Lepisosteus oculatus: one gene and its partner. The protein of the gene in region 1 purifies or fractionates together with the protein of each later gene. This does not show direct contact. Links are inferred from orthologs where the notes say so. Each region holds a gene or a part of one and is shown in the gene's direction. Other genes may lie near its edges.

Region 1 (9,415 bases):
AGTGCCTTTGCTTAGTTAAGCAAAGGGATTCCTGTGTTCTTTGGCATTAATCCACCGGAATGACGCACGACAGCTTGGCCAATGAGCATCAGGTATTAACCAACCCCCCCCATGTGGAGCAAGAGAGAGATAGGGACCTGCTGTAGCAGCAGTGATGGCAGGGGTTCTTATTCCTGTCCTGGGAGCCCGTAAACTCAAACCAATCTCTTCCTTACTGTACACAGTTAAACCCTCAATTGATTTAATTCAATTTTTTTTCAATTTGCTAAGCACTTCATCCAATTGAGGGTCGCAGGGGAGACAGAGCCTATCCCAGCAGGGCACAAGGCAGGATACACCCTGGACAGGATGCCAGTCTATCACAGAGCAGGCAGACACAAACATGCACACACTCACACCCGGGCCAGGTTTCCCAGAAGTCAACCTACCAGCATGCCTTTGGACTTTGGGAGGAAACCAGAGCTCCCAGTGAAAATGCATGTGAACAAGAGAACATACAAACTCCACACAGATAGCTCCCCGGGCCCGGGATTGAACCCAGCACTAATTTGAACTGTTTGATTGTTTTCAGCTCTTAAACGTGTTAGGACAGTAGCACTATAAGTAACACAGAATCCCAAACGTCTGAGCAAAAACAAAAAGTGCATGTATTCCAATCAAGCAACTTGATAGTTCAGTTACATAATTAAGCTCAGCTGGACTGAAAGCCAGCAGGTGCATGGGCCTCAAGGACCTGGAACCCCTGAGATATGGGGATGGCAGAAAATAGTGAAGGCAAAACCAAACCGTGGAGGAAGGATTACTAACCCATAGTGGCAGAGTGTTCCATCAGTCGCATGAGTTAAGGGGGATATTTGTCTTATCTCCCAAACCTTTGCTTGTCAAGTCCCTCAGTCCAGTGTAAGGTATATCGCACCGTAGTTTCAGGCCTCCATTTCAGAGTGTAAATAAAGCAGCCAGTTAAACCTGAGAAGAAATGCAGTAGAATTTTCAAATATGTGTCCCTGGTTTATATCCAGGAATACTAGCTGTTAATGCGGCAATGGTTTTGCATATCCCAAAATGTCCATGGCTTCAGGACATTAGCCCTTTTCAGTATCTCCTTTTCATTGTCATTTTGTACAAAGCAATGAGGGAGAGCTGTCCATGTACAGACAATGCGTTTCCAATGTGTTTTCAGTTTTGTACTGATTTGAATGCTGGTGGTGTATCAGGGAACCTTCAGTCTTCCTCGTCTGTTTCAGTCTCTGTCCCCCTCTGAATGTTACATTTAAAATGTAACCCGAGTTAAAAAACAACAAGCAAATTATGTGGAAAAAAAAAGAACAACTACGTTCACCTTTGGATTGTATAAAAGTCAGTAGCTGTAGTGTACTAGTTAATACACGGTACAATAAACAACATAACAATGGGAACTTGGCTGTTGTTTTGTTGTGTGTTTGTTTTCAGGGCTTTGTATACCAGTGAGAACATCTCCATCGTTTTACCTCAAAGTAAAACTGTGCTAAAATTCTCACAACAGGTTTAAAAAGAAAAACTATCCCTGGGCCTTTTTTTACCTGCATTTTCTCTTTGTGGGTTTCCACTTGTAGTTTTGGAATGCTAATCGGGTAGATTTTTCTTCGACAAAAAAGCCTGAGAAGCCACACAGCCTGTGGGAAGGTAAGAGTGACTTTCACTATTCCTTCCATCCATCCAGTGTCTAACTGATTTATCCAATACAGGGTCACGAGAGAGCTGAAGCCTATCCTAGCAAGCATGGCAGGATACACCCTGGACAGGACACCAGTCCATCTCAGGGCAGACACTGACACACACGCTCACACCAGGGCTAGTTTTCCCACCAGCCACTTAACCCACCAGCATGTCTTTGGACTGTGGGAGGAAACTGGAGCAGAAAGAAGAAGCCCGTGGCACGAGGCAGCAGGGCACACCACTGCACCACAGTGCCGCCAACTTCCACAATCGCCTGTGTTAATTAAACTCACCAGTAACGTGTGATGGAGGTCCTGGCAGAGAACATTTTAGTTTATGACCCTGCATCTCAGCGATTTCATACTCCGTCCTTGGAGGGCCCTTTTAATCTAGTGCGAGTAGTTATTAAACAATTTAACTGAAATTAGTAAAATAGAACATATACAGGATTTTTCTCAAGGTTTCTTTTACAGAAACCATTCACTTCATTAAAATTACAGTCACCTAGAGTATAACATCCCTCTGAACCAGGTTAGAAGTATTACAATTAAGCAGTCAAATAATAAGATAGTTCAGGTGGGCAGCTGCGTCAGCATGCGTAGGCTGCAAAGGAACAAGTAATAGGTTTATTCCCTGCTGAAAAGAGAAGAAAAAACACAAGGTTTCGGCCGTGGAGCTTTCTTCAGGTGTGAATAATAAGATAGTCCACTGAATTTATACACAGACAAGAAAATACATGGAAATACTGGATTTACCTTTTTGAAAAGAATACAGGTAATTACTAAGGGTTAGTCATTCTGATCAACACTGGACTGTAATCGCAGCTCCTCGCACGCTGAATTATCTTCCCCCTCCTACTTGGTCAGTGCTTCCAAAAGAAACTATTTGCTCGACAGTTGTACGAGGGTCCGCCCGCTGGCCCGTCACCCTCGCCGGCATGCGCACTTTTCCACCCTACAATCACTACAGCATTGCATCGACATGCAGTGAAGTCGCTTTAACTCGTTACTGCGTCAACCCTGTGTTCAAGCCGAGCTTCATTCCGCAAAAAAAGAACAATATTTTAAATTTGGGACACGGGGGATCCGAGTTTCCTCGTTGAAGAACACAGTTGTTTTTTTTTTTTAACATTATATAACGTCAATCGGTTAATGGGAAAGAACGAAATTAAATGTATTACACTTTGAGGTCTGGGGGCAGGTATTGTAGGACAGATAATGCTACACAGCAGCACATCTCCTTCAGAAAAATGGAATGGCATTGAGGGTTGTTATATGAGTCTTGAGCAAAAACTAAACGACAATTTTCATATGCAATCAGCGCACACCGGTACAGTATATTCCCCCGTGTTTGTCTGTTCAAAGCAACAACACTAACAACAAATTAAAGGGCTATTTATTATTATGCGTGCTAATTAGCAGTTCTCAGTCCTCTGGCAGATTAACGATAGTCTGTGATAAGACTACGGTTTTACACTTGGCACATACTGCTCATACTGCACACACACAAATAAATTATGTGAGTTTCTCTGTAAACGAATTCATCCCATAGAGGGCACTCGCGAGCCTGTTTTTCCTCCACTTTTCCTCGCTTGGGTGATGAAATCCCTTTGGTTTCAGACACGAGTGATGGAATATTCTGGTAACTCCGGTTGAATTCGAGGCTGGAGGTTTCTGGCTGAACCTCGAGTGTAAATGTATCTTACAAGAATAAAACATGATGACACCTCCGTTAATTTTAGCCTAATCTCGAGAATATTCTCGTTGCTTTCTCAGTTATGCCCCTCAGTTCAATTAATGAGAGAAATAATGTTAAAAAATGGAGGTACTGATAAATTGTATGATAACACATTTGATTTTCGCTAAATGTTGAAAGTATGACTATATGATATCACTCAACTAATATTAATAAAAGGGGGTTTGTACGAATATACAGATCCCTGTCGTTGTGATTTGTGGTGCGCAGAAGATTGTGCTGAATTTCATTTTTTATTGAGCCGGCCGTCACTTTAGTTATAGAATAATTCCCTTTAAATGTTTCATCAGAAATTGAGCCATTGTAATTTTACATAAAAACGATTAGAAGAAAATCATTGGACAGCAGAATTCAAACTCAGTATCGTCGTAAGGTTAAAATTAAAACGTTGGTGATGATTTTTGAATTGATCTCGAACCTTCTACAGTATGTCCCACTGAAAAGGAAATGTTATACTGTATATTGATTTATACAGTATGTGTCTGTAAAATAAAATTGAAGGATAATATCGTTATACAATACACTATAGTAGAATAACTGTTTTAGGGGTTTGTCAGAATAATGAGACTATATTTAGTTCACATGAGTTTTGATATTTAAAATGAAGATGTTTTAATTCATTGCTGAATGTTGCTGTTTAGATATTCAGTAATACAGATCCGAAGTGTTTGATTATGACCATCAGACATCTCAAAACATATTGGGGAAGAAAGTAAGGGGAGATGACAACTGTGTTATTCTCCTTTGCTACGAATGAATATTAAATCTTATTATAGAGAAAAACAGCCTGACATATTTTATACCTATTAGTATCAGCTGCTCAAAATTAATGTAAAACTCATCTTTCTTCATGCTGTTGACTACTGCTGTCAAGACCCCCTGGGTGAAAGAATCCTGAAAAAATATTGTTTCAGATGAATAGCTCAGTGATATTTAGCTTATTAATATACAGTGCGAATAGGACAAGAAAGCCTGAGTTATTACTTCTGTCGTTCAGCTTTTCAAGATCCTCAACCCAGTGAGGCCTGAGCTAGCCTCTCAGCTGTCACTTCTAGTCTGTTAACTCCTCAGACACATTTTGTCACAGCCTGGGGAGCCGAAGCATGGAGACATTTGGAACCAGGCCTGTCCTGGGAAAATGACATTAGGTATTAGATTTATTTTAGTGAGCTTGTGCTTGTCGCAAGGCCTTCACAAGCAACTTCACCTGTGTGACCTACTGCCACCCCCACCCCCCCAAAAAAAAGACATCTTCTTTCTGAAAACCCCAGCTTAAAAAGGAAAAATTGCTGTCAGTTTTTCAGCTTCTTTATTTTTTTCTTCAGAAGGTTTGTAAAAACGTCATTAGAATGACATTTGTCAGGAACTAATTGGGTCTCCCTAGCACTGGTGTTTAGTGGTTTCCTACACTAATGATGCCCCTTCTAGCATTCAGGTGCCCCATTTGTAGCATGTTGAGACAAACTGCTAGATGACTTTGAAGTGATTTGGGTTGAAGCCACAAAGAGCCTCAATTTTTGTGCTTGGTTCTGAAGAACCAGGGTAGCTTCTGAAGTTCTCAGGAATGTACCACATTCGAAATCCCGTCTCTGTGACCAGTTCGGGTTTCGGTGATGGCAGTCCCTCCTCATGATACATTTCAAAGCAGCTCGGAACAGCTCTGCTCCAGCAGTTGCTGGAGTGCTGTTCCTTATCAGCGCTTCTGCCGTGCTCCAACAGAGGAGTGTTGGCAAGGTTCACACCAGATTCCTCTTTCAGGCTGTAATACCAGGCAGGGGATTACAATTGGCTGGAGCCGGGGGTTAAACACAGTGTGTTATCCAGCGGCGGGGGGGGGCGGTCTTGGAACACTAAATTCCTTTCCAGTGGTCTGTCTTCCATGAATAGACTTTCTAGGCTCTTCTATAAATATGATGGGGGGGTGAGAGGCGGGCAGTGAAGGAGAAGTTTATAAAGCCCACGGCCAACTATTACTTAGAGCACTCGCTCTTCCAAACAGCGCAGAGGAGAGCAGAGAACTGCAAAACCTTCTGAGGGTGGTCTGTCCCCGTTCCTAAAACGTTCCTCGCCGACATGTCCGAGCGCCACATTCCCTTCACTTTCCTTCGCGGCCCAAGCTGGGATCCCTTCCGAGACTGGTTCCACGGCAACCGGATCTTCGACCAGTCCTTCGGCATGCCAGCCCTCACCGAGGACTGGTACCACTGGCCGAGCACTCACTGGCCCGGCTACATTCGGCCCTCAGTTGTGGGCCCGGCAGCCGAAGCAGGGGCCCCCAGCGCTGTGAGCCCGCTGCCCCCGGGGCCGGCGATGTCGCCCTACGCCCGCGCGCTCTCCCGCCAGCTGAGCAGCGGCATGTCCGAGATCAAGCAGACCCAGGACCAGTGGAAAGTCAGCCTGGATGTCAACCACTTCTCCCCCGAGGAACTGGTGGTAAAAACCAAGGACGGCGTGGTGGAAATCACAGGTGAGTCCCGCAGGCAGCTCTGTCTTCCCCCCTCCTTCTGGGGGCGCTAGCGCTGCGAGGGGCGTGGCCACGGTACGGGCCCGAGCGGGCGTGAGGTGAGGGTCTGTATGGTGCACCAGCTTTCATGGGTTTTAAATCTTCGCAAACAGAACAAAATGACCTTTTTAATTTTAAAGGGTTAAAAAAAAAACTTCCAGACGTATTTTATTCCTTCCTTTCACCGTGAGTGCAGCCTTGATCATGTCATCTGTCTTATAAAGATTAATATGTAGTCATTGTTTGTTTCTGATTTATGTTTGTTTCTGTTTATGTGTTGCCTGTTTGTTTGGAGCAAATTAGTAAAAATAAGAAAGTCGACAGCTTCATAAAACACATTCTTTTAAAAGTTATGACAGCATTGAATGTTGGGAATATGGTATATCTCATGCTGTCTAGTTTATCTCAGTGAGAAAGTCTTTCTAGTTTTAAAAAAACAAATGTTTCTGAACTGGCCTTTGTTGTGGAAAATGAACAGAAGTCAACGTGTTCCCTGGATTCTCCTCAGAGCAGGGGGCAGCTGGGGTGACAGCACTGGTTCTCTGTTGAAGTGACACAGCTAGCACACACTGCCCCCGAGACTGGCCGAACTTGAATGCTTGATGAATTGAGTTTTACCATGGTCATAGCTGTGTTCGAAAGCAAGCTGATCTGCATCTGTTCCCGTCTACATCTGGTTTAATGGCAGTGTTAAAAAAATAGTTTCATCTGAAAAGCCAGCAAATTTGCCAATAACTGCGTCCCTCCTTCATCGGTGCCATGGGGATTGCAGCTGAGTCACTGATGACTCACACTTGCTTGTTGCTTTCAGAGTCAGCTGCTAGCCCAGCCAGGGCTGTTTCATTTCCTAATCAGACTTGCAAAGTTTTTAAGAAGCTTCACTTCGTGTGTCACTATTTGCAGCATTGGATTGCTTTTATAAAAGTATATAGGGCGGAGCTCTGCGCCTGTGGCTGGAAGGTTGCCGGTTCAAATCCTGCAGCTGGCAAAGGAATCCTACTCTGTTGGGCCCCTGAGCAAGGCTGTTAACCCCAACTGCTCCAGGGGTGCTGTACAATGACTGACCCTGCACTCTGACCCCAAGCTCTCTCCCTATCTGTTTGTCTCATGGAGAGCAAGCTGGGGTATGTGAAAAGATGAATTCCTAATTCAAGAAATTGTATAGGGCTAATAAAGTTATGTTATGTTACTGTAATAAGTCAGTTTTTACTGTTTTAGATTACTGTCTAAATTTGTTTTTATCACTTGATAATTTCCATTGCAACTTTGCATGAAGTAAAAAGACCATTTGTAATGATTTCCTAAAGTGCAACATTTATATACCTGTTTTCACGTGATGTCTCTCAAATGCATTGAAAAGTAATGGCTAAATTTAAGAAATCAACTGTAACCATGAGCACATATAAAATGAATGCAATCTATGGAATATGCTTCACTGTGATACAAGCAGTGCTTGTTTGCAGTAATAGTCAGTTGCCAAAGCAAACAACTGTGTTATCAGGATCTCAGTTTCAATAGGAATGTTCTATATTAAAGCAGGAAGACACACAGGGATCTATTAAAATGCTGTCAAGGGAGAATTGCCAGTTGCTAAAGGAAGCTGGTGTAACCTCAGAACTGAAAACATTCCATGCCTGACCTATGCATTTGTACCTGTAGGTAAACATGAAGAGAGACAGGATGAGCATGGCTACATTTCAAGATGCTTCACCAGAAAATACACGTGAGTATTAGAAAAACAGTATGAAGCATGTGTAATATATATTGTATAAAACTGGTAGCCTGTCTTTGTTGTGTGGAACACTTGTAGTAGGACTAGCTGATGCCCTCCTAGCAAAGTCCAGTTCATGAATTCAGTTTATGACAACATCACCTGTCCGGGCCCTCAGGCATGTGTTCCCTTTGCTTGCTGAAATCGGCAACGCTTTCTCGTTCCCCTCCCCAGGCTCCCTCCTGGCGTGGACGTCAACAAGGTGGTCTCCTCCCTCTCTCCAGAAGGAGTGCTGACCGTAGAGGCTCCTCTTCCCAAACCGGCAATCCAGGCTGCGGAAATTACCATCCCAGTCTCCCTGGAGAGCAAGGCCAAGCCTGCAGTCGAAACCAAGAAATAACCAGCATTGCTCTACCGACCTGCAAAGGCGCAGTGCAGTTAATATTGAACGCTTGACCACGCAGCAGTTTCCCAAATATTATAACAGAAACTATCTTTTGCTTGTTGTTTTTTTCATTCTTTTGAAATTGGCTCAATTTCTCGGTGAATGAAACATCCCCCCAGCACACTGACTTTGTATTATTACATTACGTGCTATTGCAAACCTGCATTTTTGCAGTCATTTCATCCTTCTTTTAGAGTTAGATTTAAAATACAATCCAAATACTCCCCTTTCACTTCTGCCTCCTGCTCTTAAGATTTGCTTGCTGCGCTCTGAATGCGATTAGACTTGGCTGGTGTGTGGGTATTGTTTTTTCTCCATTATGATACTGCAGCTCTGCTGGCTGCGGGTGTGCCATCTTCTGTGAAACTGCAGCTTGGTTTCTTCACTCAGGCACAACGTCCCTGCGTGAACACTAGGAGCATAGATAGCCTTGTCATTGGAATAAAAAATACAGGACATACTGTATGACTTTGGATGAGCTGAACTATGCATACAATACATTACAAGCCTTTTGTGGGAAAAAAAGAGATTTATTTCTAAGAAGTACAGAAAAGTAGGCTTTTATTCCTATTGTGAGACTAAAGAATAAATTACCAATTTGGTATAGCCTTCTGTTATTATTTTTGGTAATTGCTACTCACCATTGTTCTTGTTATGATATTTTGATTTGATGGAATCTGTTTAATGCTATAGTTTGCACATGGTAGAGATCGGCCTATATTTCAGTGGGTGTGAAGGTATTTCCATAATTTTGAAAAATAAATGCTTTGTCTTTTTTAAGTCAAAATAGTTGTGTGTGTTTCTTTAAGAGGATAGCATTAGAATCTGATTTTTTAACATACAGTAGATTGAGAATGGAGAAATGTTGTTCTTAATTTAATCAGATATTACAGGGCTGGAAGGGTGGTCTTGCACAGGATTTATTAGCTTTGACACTGCTTTCTTCACCAAGGTGTTACAGTACATTGTCACTGGCAGCTGAATGAAATACCAGCTGATTAGTTCTTGTATGTGTCTAATGTCATGGCTCAGACTTACGTTTTTGGTTTAAGATTAAACTTCAGACAAACACGTCTCCTGCTCCATAATTTTCCTCATTACTTTCTTTTGGACGGTTTTGATTTTGCCATATGCAGCAGTAAAGACATACTGTATAAGCTTTTAAACTTATGAACCTAGTCATTCAAAGGGGTATCAGTGTTATGCTCTTGCACAGCTGAAACTGTTCTTTCAAGAAGCCACAATAAACGGAAATGAACCAATTTTCTTTTCTTGTTCTGATGTCTCACAAACAGAAACAGAATGC
Region 2 (10,264 bases), on another chromosome or scaffold:
GTGTTACAGGACTGACCCTCCTCAGTAATCTGCGGGTGCAGTGGGAGTCAGTGTGTGTGTGTTGTGTTACAGGACTGACCCTCCTCAGTAATCTGTGGGTGCAGTGGGAGTCAGTGTGTGTGTGTGTTGTGTTACAGGACTGACCCTCCTCAGTAATCTGCGGGTGCAGTGGGAGTCAGTGTGTGTGTGTTGTGTTACAGGACTGACCCTCCTCAGTAATCTGTGGGTGCAGTGGGAGTCAGTGTGTGTGTTGTGTTACAGGACTGACCCTCTTCAGTAATCTGCGGGTGCAGTGGGAGTCAGAGTGTGTGTGTTGTGTTACAGGACTGACCCTCCTCAGTAATCTGTGGGTGCAGTGGGAGTCAGTGTGTGTGTTGTGTTACAGGACTGACCCTCCTCAGTAATCTGCGGGTGCAGTGGGAGTCAGTGTGTGTGTGTGTTGTGTTACAGGACTGACCCTCCTCAGTAATCTGCGGGTGCAGTGTGAGTCAGTGTGTGTGTGTTGTGTTACAGGACTGACCCTCCTCAGTAATCTGCGGGTGCAGTGGGAGTCAGTGTGTGTGTGTTGTGTTACAGGACTGACCCTCCTCAGTAATCTGCGGGTGCAGTGTGAGTCAGTGTGTGTGTGTTGTGTTACAGGACTGACCCTCCTCAGTAATCTGCGGGTGCAGTGGGAGTCAGTGTGTGTGTTGTGTTACAGGACTGACCCTCCTCAGTAATCTGCGGGTGCAGTGGGAGTCAGTGTGTGTGTGTTGTGTTACAGGACTGACCCTCCTCAGTAATCTGCGGGTGCAGTGGGAGTCAGTGTGTGTGTGTTGTGTTACAGGACTGACCCTCCTCAGTAATCTGCGGGTGCAGTGTGAGTCGGGGTTCGGTGCCGGTGTCCTCACTCATCTGATGCTGTCTGGCTCGGACCCTGAGCACCTGGCGTGTGCGCTAGCCCTGCCACTGGTCACCAGGTGAGCTGTCTGTCTGTCTGTCTGTCTGTCTGTCTGTCTGTCTGTCTGTCTGTCTGTCTGTCTGTCTGTCTGTCCAGTGACGTGCCCGTGCCTGTCTGTCTCTCCAGTAACAGGCCCGTGCCTGTCTGTCTCTCTAGTGACAGGCCTGTGCCTGTCTGTCTCTCCAGTGACGTGCCTGTGCCTGTCTGTCTGTCTCTCCAGTGACGTGCCTGTGCCTGTCTGTCTCTCCAGTGACGTGCCTGTCTGTCTCTCCAGTAACAGGCCTGTGCCTGTCTGTCTGTCTCTCCAGTGACGTGCCTGTCTGTCTCTCCAGTAACAGGCCTGTGCCTGTCTGTCTGTCTCTCCAGTGACGTGCCTGTCTGTCTCTCCAGTAACAGGCCTGTGCCTGTCTGTCTCTCCAGTGACGTGCCTGTCTGTCTCTCCAGTAACAGGCCTGTGCCTGTCTGTCTGTCTCTCCAGTGACGTGCCTGTCTGTCTCTCCAGTAACAGGCCCGTGCCTGTCTGTCTCTCCAGTGACGTGCCTGTCTGTCTCTCCAGTAACAGGCCTGTGCCTGTCTGTCTGTCTCTCCAGTGACGTGCCTGTCTGTCTCTCCAGTAACAGGCCTGTCTGTCTCTCCAGTAACAGGCCTGTCTGTCTCTCCAGTGACGTGCCTGTCTGTCTCTCCAGTAACAGGCCCGTGCCTGTCTGTCTCTCCAGTGACGTGCCTGTCTGTCTCTCCAGTAACAGGCCTGTGCCTGTCTGTCTCTCCAGTAACAGGCCTGTGCCTGTCTGTCTCTCCAGTGACGTGCCTGTCTGTCTCTCCAGTAACAGGCCTGTGCTCCGGAAGCTGCTGCTCGATCACGCTGGTCTGCGTCTGGCCCTGCAGCCGCTGTGTCGCCGTGACGACGCCCCGGCCGCGGAGGAGGACCCGCTGGGCTGGGGGGCCCTCCTGGGCGCCTGGCTGCCGCCCCCCCAGCCCCCCTCGGCGCGGCGCCTGCGGGCGCTGTACTGCTGCGCGCTGGCGGACTGCCTCTCCGCCCTGCTGGGGCGCCCCGAGGGCGGGGGGGCCCCCGGCGCCCCGCGGCCCCCGCCCCCCGCCCCCTGCCCCTACCGGCGCGCCCCCCCGGACCTGGTGCTGCTGCTGGACGACGGCACGCGGCTCCCCGCCAGCCGGGCCGCCCTGACCGGGCAGGGGGGCTCCCCCTACTTCCACGCGCTGCTGCTGGGGGGCTTCCGGGAGGCGCTGGCCACGGGGGGGGTCCCCATCCGCGACGTCACCCCCGAGATGCTGCTGCCCGTCCTGCACTTCCTGCACGGCTGTCGCCTGGGCGACGGGGCGGCCTGCCCGCTGCTGGGGGCCCTGGGGGCTGGCGGGGAGCCCCCCCTCTGGGGGCCTCCCGGGGGCGGGGAGCCCCCCCTGCTGGCGGCCATGCGGGGCGCCAGCCGCTTCCTGGTGTCGGGGCTGCAGGCGCAGCTGGAGCAGCTGTGTGTGTCTCTCCTGGGCCAGCAGGGGGCGTCCGGACCGGCTCGGAGCGGGCCGGAGTCACTGGGCGGACTGGGTCAGAGAGGGCCAGACTCGGAGTCACTGGGCGAACTGGGCGGGTCCGGACCGGGTCGGAGCGGGCCAGACTCGGAGTCACTGGGCGAACTGGGCGGGTCCGGACCGGCTCGGAGCGGGCCGGAGTCACTGGGCGAACTGGGCGGGTCCGGACCGGCTCGGAGCGGGCCGGAGTCACTGGGAGAACTGGGCGGGTCCGGACTGGGTCAGAGCGGGCCAGACTCGGAGTCACTGGGCGAACTGGGCGGGTCTGGACTGGGTCGGAGCGGGCCGGAGTCACTGGGCGAACTGGGCGGGTCCGGACTGGGTCAGAGCGGGCCAGACTCGGAGTCACTGGGCGAACTGGGCGGGTCCGGACTGTGTCGGAGCGGGCCAGAGTCACTGGGCGAACTGGGCAGGTCCGGACTGTGTCGGAGCGGGCCAGAGTCACTGGGCGAACTGGGCGGGTCTGGACCGGGTCGGAGCGGGCCGGAGTCACTGGGCGAACTGGGCGGGTCCGGACTGGGTCAGAGCGGGCCAGATTCACTGGGCGAACTGGGCGGGTCCGGACTGTGTCGGAGCGGGCCAGAGTCACTGGGCGAACTGGGCGGGTCCGGACTGGGTCAGAGCGGGCCAGACTCGGAGTCACTGGGCAAACTGGGCGGGTCTGGACCGGGTCGGAGCGGGCCGGAGTCACTGGGCGAACTGGGCGGGTCCGGACTGGGTCAGAGCGGGCCAGATTCACTGGGCGAACTGGGCGGGTCCGGACCGGCTCGGAGCGGGCCGGAGTCACTGGGTGAACTGGGCGGGTCCGGACTGGGTCAGAGCGGGCCAGACTCGGAGTCACTGGGCGAACTGGGCGGGTCTGGACTGGTTTGGAGCGGGCCAGACTCGGAGTCACTGGGCGAACTGGGTGGGTCAGAACTGGGTCAGAGCGGGCCGGACTCGGAGCCGGACCCTGCCTCTCTCCTCGGCGCCCTGCCCTCGCTGTACCAGTTCTCCCAGCAGCACGGTTACCCCCTGCTGGGCCGCCGCTGCCTGGCCCTGCTGCTGGCCGCCCGCCCCCCCCTGCCCCTCGCCCCCGCCGCCGCCTGCCTGGGGCAGATCGCCGACCACGCCCACTGCGGCCAGCGCCTGCAGGAGGACATACTGGCCATGGTCACCCGCGCACTGACCTGACCCTGGGCAGAGAGGGGCGTGTCTGGGGAGGGAGGAGACAGGAGGAGAAGGGCGTGTCTGGGGAGGGAGGAGACAGGAGGAGAAGGGCGTGTCTGGGGAGGGAGGAGACAGGAGGAGAAGGGCGTGTCTGGGGAGGGAGGAGACAGGAGGAGAAGGGTGTGTCTGGGGAGGGAGGAGACAGGAGGAGAAGGGTGTGTCTGGGGAGGGAGGAGACAGTGGGGGAGGGGGCGTGTCTGGGGAGGGAGGAGACAGGAGGAGAGGGGTGTGTCTGGGGAGGGAGGAGACAGTGGGAGGAGAGGGGCGTGTCTGGGGAGGGAGGAGAGGGGCGTGTCTGGGGAGGGAGGAGACAGTGGGAGGAGAGGGGCGTGTCTGGGGAGGGAGGAGACAGTGGGAGGAGAGGGGCGTGTCTGGGGAGGGAGGAGACAGTGGGAGGAGAGGGGCGTGTCTGGGGAGGGAGGAGACAGTGGATGAGGGGGGCGTGTCTGGGGGAGGGGTTGTGGGAGGGGGAGTTTTGTCTAAGGGGGCGAGGGCCTGTGCTCTCTGGGTGCCCTCTGTGGGGCTGTAGATACTGTACATACACTGTGAATACCCAGCTGGACCCTGAGTCACTGTAATAAACGCTCAGCTGATGAACTCAAACTGCTGTGTCAGAGGTCAGTCTGTTCTCCTGCCCCCCAGTAACCCCCTGTCCGTCTCCAGCGGCGCGCCCTGCTCCCACACACCGTTCTGGAACAGGCCCAGTTTGATGACGCTGGCTCGTGCCCTGCTGGGCTCTCGCGGACCGGACCGGAGCTCTCTCGTCTGCTTGTCTCAGGGGGAGCGGTTTTACAGCCACAGTGCTGGCGGACATGAGGGAAAATTCAACTCCATGCAGACACGAGCGATGGGTTTACTCCCTGCTGAACATCTGCTACCGGAATAATAATTGCTGACCCTTATATAGCGCCTGTCTGGACACCCCACTCAATGCGCTGTACAGGTCATGGGGATCCCCCCCACCCCCAGCAGTGTGTACCCCACCTGGATGAGGCTCCAGTCCTCTCCCACACAGCAGCTCTCAGTGGAGGAGAGCAGAGGGACACCGGGGTGACACCCCGACTCTTCTCGAGAGACATTAACAATGGGATTGTTAATGAGCACAGAGAGTCAGGACCCCGGCTTCACGTCTCATCTGAAGGACGGCGCCTGTTTACAGTCCAGTGTCCCCGTCAGTGTCCAGCCCTACTCTTTTATAGCTCACCATCACTGGACTGGGGCATCAGGACCCACACAGAGCGCAGGGTGAGAGCGCCCCCTGCTGGCCCCACTCACACCTCTCCCAGGGGTCTCCCCTCCAGGTTCTGGCCAGGCGCCCCCTACTGGGCTCCAGTGGGCTGTGAGCTGGGGGACAGTGCCCCCTGCTGGGCTCCAGTGGGCTGTGAGCTGGGTGAGGGCGCCCCCTGCTGGGCTCCAGTGGGCTGTGAGCTGGGTGAGAGCGCCCCCTGCTGGGCTCCAGTGGGCTGTGAGCTGGGTGAGGGCGCCCCCTGCTGGGCTCCAGTGGGCTGTGAGCTGGGTGAGAGCTCCCCCTGCTGGGCTCCAGTAGCTGCCAGTTGTGAGTTGCAGAGGATTTTGGCTGCTGGCCGTACCAACCTGATCTCCGTCAATATCCAGACCTGTTGACATGGAGGGTCAGAGTGAGTGAGGACTTGGCTTCAGGTGTTGAGTGAGGACTTGAACCTGCTGGTTTTGGAGCTGGGGTATCTGCGCTCCGATGGGAGTACCTGGACTGTGCTGTACGCCGAACCCGGGACTGAGGGACAGAGGGGAAACGGACTGGGACGTCTCTTCACCAGGCTGCCCAGTCTGTCCCTGCCTCTCCGACTCTGTCTTGCCTCAGACCAGCAGATCTGGGTCAGCGGCAGAACCGAGCCGAGGAGCGACCGGCTACGACCCGTCATGCTGTGTCTGGCGTCTCCCCCGCTGTGGGGTCTCTATCCTGTCTCCGCCCGCCCCGGCTGTCCCCGGCGGTCAGGGTCAGGCTGCAGGGCAGAGGGCGAGGGAGGAGAGGGGCGCCCTGGCCGCGCGGCCGATCAGACTGGCCACAGCGCTCTGCCCCTTGGAGAAGTTTCCCCACGCGGACCTGATCGCTCGGCTCCGCTGACCAGCCTTGTGTGATCCGGGACTCGTTCTGTACTCGTTCTGTACTCATACTGTAATCGTTCTGTACTCGTTCTGTACTCGTTCTGTACTCGTACTGTACTCGTTCTGTACTCGTACTGGACTTGTCTCTGTATTCATACTGTACTCACCTCTGTACTCATACTGTACTCAGTAACAGCGCTCCAGGCTCAGCAACAGTGCTCAGTAACGGTGCTTAGTAGCTGTGCTCAGTAACAGCGCTCCAGGCTCAGAGACTGTGCTCAGAAACAGCGCTCCAGGCTCAGAGACTGTGCTCAGTAAGTGCTCTCCAGGCTCAGAGACTGTGCTCAGTAACAGCGCTCCAGGCTCAGAGACTGTGCTCAGTAAGTGCTCTCCAGGCTCAGTAACAGCGCTCCAGGCTCAGAGACTGTGCTCAGTAACAGCGCTCCAGACTCGGAGACTGTGCTCAGCAGCTGTGCTCAGTAACAGCGCTCCAGGCTTGGAGACTGTGCTCAGTAGCTGTGCTCGGTAAAAGCGCTCCAGGCTCGGAGACTGTGCTCAGTAGCTGTGCTCAGTAACAGCGCTCCAGGCTCGGAGACAGTGCTCAGTAGCTGTGCTCAGTAACAGCGCTCCAGGCTCGGAGACAGTGCTCAGTAGCTGTGCTCAGTAACAGCGCTCCAGACTCAGGCTCTCCTGCGCTCGCGGCTCTGCTCCTAATATGGTGTTGGAATGTCCGCGGTGACGTCACGGCCTGGGAACGGGCGTGCGCGTGTGAGCGAGGGGGTCTCTCTCCAGACACGCGCACTGCGCGGCGGGACAGCGGCCGGGAATCCGCCCTTTTCCGAGTCCCTTCCCGAGCCTCTTCCCGAGCCTCGAGCCTCTTCCCGGCTGCGCTCCCGCTGGCGACACCGACCTCCGCTCCCGGCTCGACCGCGGGACCGTCCGGCTCCCGGGACAGGATCGACTTCGGCAGCTTCCAGCGAGAAACCGGCGCCGAGAGACGATGGACGATCTGGGTGAGTTCGACTGCTGTTGCTGTAGCGCTGCGTGGATTTTTATCACACTCAGAGCAGTGTGTGCCCACTGGAGACACACAGAGCAGTGTGTGCCCACTGGGGAGACTCTCACAGAGACACAGAGCAGTGTGTGCCCACTGGGGAGACTCTCACAGAGACACAGAGCAGTGTGTGCCCACTGGAGACACACAGAGCAGTGTGTGCCCACTGGGGAGACTCTCACAGAGACACAGAGCAGTGTGTGCCCACTGGAGACACACAGAGCAGTGTGTGCCCACTGGGGAGACTCTCACAGAGACACAGAGCAGTGTGTGCCCACTGGAGACACACAGAGCAGTGTGTGCCCACTGGAGACACACAGAGCAGTGTGTGCCCACTGGAGACACTCTCACAGAGACACACAGAGCAGTGTGTGCCCACTGGGGAGACTCTCACAGAGACACAGAGCAGTGTGTGCCCACTGGGGAGACTCTCACAGAGACACAGAGCAGTGTGTGCCCACTGGAGACACACAGAGCAGTGTGTGCCCACTGGGGAGACTCTCACAGAGACACAGAGCAGTGTGTGCCCACAGGAGACACACAGAGCAGTGTGTGCCCACTGGAGACACTCTCACAGAGACACTCAGAGCAGTGTGTGCCCACAGGAGACACTCTCACAGAAACACAAAGAGCAGTGTCTCTCACAGAGACACTCAGAGCAGTGTGTGCCCACCGGAGACACTCTCACAGAGACACTCAGAGCAGTGTGTGCCCACTGGAGACACTCTCACAGAGACACACAGAGCAGTGTGTGCCCACTGGAGACACTCTCACAGAGACAAAGAGCAGTGTGTGCCCACTGGAGACACTCTCACAGAGACACAGAGCAGTGTGTGCCCACTGGAGACACTCTCACAGAGACACACAGAACAGTGTGTGCCCACTGGAGACACTCTCACAGAGACACTCTCACAGAGACACACAGAGCAGTGTGTGCCCACTGGGGAGACTCTCATAGAGACACAGAGCAGTGTGTGCCCACTGGAGACACTCTCACAGAGACACAGAGCAGTGTGTGCCCACTGGAGACACTCTCACAGAGACACACAGAGCAGTGTGTGCCCACAGGAGACACTCTCACAGAGACACACAGAGCAGTGTGTGCCCACTGGAGACACTCTCACAGAGACACTCAGAGCAGTGTGTGCCCACCGGAGACACTCTCACAGAGACACACAGAGCAGTGTGTGCCCACAGGAGACACTCTCACAGAGACAAAGAGCAGTGTGTGCCCACTGGAGACACTCTCAGAGACAAAGAGCAGTGTGTGCCCACTGGAGACACTCTCACAGAGACACAGAGCAGTGTGTGCCCACTGGAGACACTCTCACAGAGACACACTGAACAGTGTGTCCACTGGAGACACTCTCACAGAGACACACAGAGCAGTGTGTGCCCACAGGAGACACTCTCACAGAGACACACAGAGCAGTGTGTGCCCACAGGAGACACTCTCACAGAGACACACAGAGCAGTGTGTGCCCACTGGAGACACTCTCACAGAGAGACACTCTCACAGAGACACACAGAGCAGTGTGTGCCCACTGGAGACACTCTCACAGAGACACTCTCACAGAGACACAGAGCAGTGTGTGCCCACAGGAGACACTCTCACAGAGACACACAGAGCAGTGTGTGCCCACTGGAGACACTCTCACAGAGAGACACTCTCACAGAGACACACAGAGCAGTGTGTGCCCACTGGAGACACTCTCACAGAGACACACAGAGCAGTGTGTGCCCACTGGAGACACTCTTACAGAGACACAGAGCAGTGTGTGCCCACTGGAGACACTCTCACAGAGACACAGAGCAGTGTGTGCCCACTGGAGACACTCTCACAGAGACACAGAGCAGTGTGTGCCCACAGGAGACACTCTCACAGAGACACAGAGCAGTGTGTGCCCACAGGAGACACTCTCACAGAGACACACAGAGCAGTGTGTGCCCACTGGAGACACTCTCACAGAGACACTCAGAGCAGTGTGTGCCCACAGGAGACACTCTCACAGAGACAAAGAGCAGTGTGTGCCCACTGGAGACACTCTCACAGAGACACACAGAGCAGTGTGTGCCCACAGGAGACACTCTCACAGAGAGACACTCTCACAGAGAGACAGAGCAGTGTGTGCCCACTGGAGACACTCTCACAGAGACACACAGAGCAGTGTGTGCCCACTGGAGACACTCTCACAGAGACACAGAGCAGTGTGTGCCCACAGGAGACACTCTCACAGAGACACTCAGAACAGTGTGTGCCCACAGGAGACACTCTCACAGAGACACAGAGCAGTGTGTGCCCACTGGAGACACTCTCACAGAGACACACAGAGCAGTGTGTGCCCACTGGAGACACTCTCACAGAGACACAGAGCAGTGTGTGCCCACTGGAGACACTCTCACAGAGACACACAGAGCAGTGTGTGCCCACTGGAGACACTCTCACAGAGACACTCAGAGCAGTGTGTGCCCACTGGAGACACTCTCACAGAGACACTCTCACAGAGACACACAGAGCAGTGTGTGCCCACTGGAGACACTCTCACAGAGACACACAGAGCAGTGTGTGCCCACAGGAGACACTCTCACAGAGAGACAGAGCAGTGTGTGCCCACTGGAGACACTCTCACAGAAGTGTGTGCCCACTGGAGTTTCTTATAGTCACAGGGGCAGGGAGAGTCACCCCAGTTTCCCTGTCTTCACCCTGTGCTGCCCTAGAGCCCCAAGAGAAGACAGATGAACTCAGACGTTTCCAGTTTTATTCGCACACCGTCCCTGCTCAGCGGCCAGCTGAGAGAAGGAAGCAGTTTCTGAAAAAATCCAATCAAAGGAAACAGCAGAACATCTGAGCTGGAGTAGAGTCGATATCCGCTGGGAGCAGCTCTTGCCGGCTGTCGGGATACCGGATCCCGGATCTGCGGGGCTCGGGGCAGACTGTGGGCTCTGTCTGGGCACTTCCTGGGTCACCGGCCCGGAGACACAGAACCTCTCCCCCTTCTCAACCCGGAGACACAGAACCCTCTCCCCCTGTTCAACCCGGAGAAACAGAACCGACACAACAAGACCCGGTGTGGCTGTTTCCTTGTCTCTCTGACACAAAGAGACCCGGTGTGGCTGTTTCCTTGTCTCTCTGACACAAAGAGACCCGGTGTGGCTGTTTCCTTGTCTCTGTGACACAAGGAGACCCGGTGTGGCTGTTTCCTTGTCTCTCTGACACAAAGAGACCCGGTGTGGCTGTTTCCTTGTCTCTCTGACACAAGGAGACCCGGTGTGGCTGTTTCCTTGTCTCTCTGACACAAAGAGACCCGGTGTGGCTGTTTCCTTGTCTCTCTGACACAAAGAGACCCGGTGTGGCTGTTTCCTTGTCTCTGTGACACAAGGAGACCCGGTGTGGCTGTTTCCTTGTCTCTCTGACACAAAGAGACCCGGTGTGG

What was found.
Region 2: the proteins of hspb1 (region 1) and transforming growth factor beta-1-induced transcript 1 protein-like purify together in Homo sapiens (affinity purification with western blotting; 3 studies listed by BioGRID). This does not show direct contact. The link is inferred for Lepisosteus oculatus from reciprocal best matches to the Homo sapiens genes HSPB1 and TGFB1I1.

Annotation. Positions count from the first base shown.
Region 1 is NC_090721.1:3,380,104-3,389,518, forward strand, and holds hspb1 (heat shock protein beta-1), read left to right. Parts: upstream 1-5,408; 5' UTR 5,409-5,523; coding exon 5,524-5,917; intron 5,918-7,612; coding exon 7,613-7,676; intron 7,677-7,898; coding exon 7,899-8,064; 3' UTR 8,065-9,371; downstream 9,372-9,415. UniProt on the Homo sapiens protein: Small heat shock protein which functions as a molecular chaperone probably maintaining denatured proteins in a folding-competent state. Plays a role in stress resistance and actin organization.
Region 2 is NC_090699.1:1,269,214-1,279,477, forward strand, and holds the start of transforming growth factor beta-1-induced transcript 1 protein-like, read left to right. Parts: upstream 1-6,538; 5' UTR 6,539-6,776; coding exon 6,777-6,789; intron 6,790-10,264. Other genes in the region: armc5 (armadillo repeat-containing protein 5), read left to right, coding at 827-959, 1,765-3,655. UniProt on the Homo sapiens protein: Functions as a molecular adapter coordinating multiple protein-protein interactions at the focal adhesion complex and in the nucleus. Links various intracellular signaling modules to plasma membrane receptors and regulates the Wnt and TGFB signaling pathways.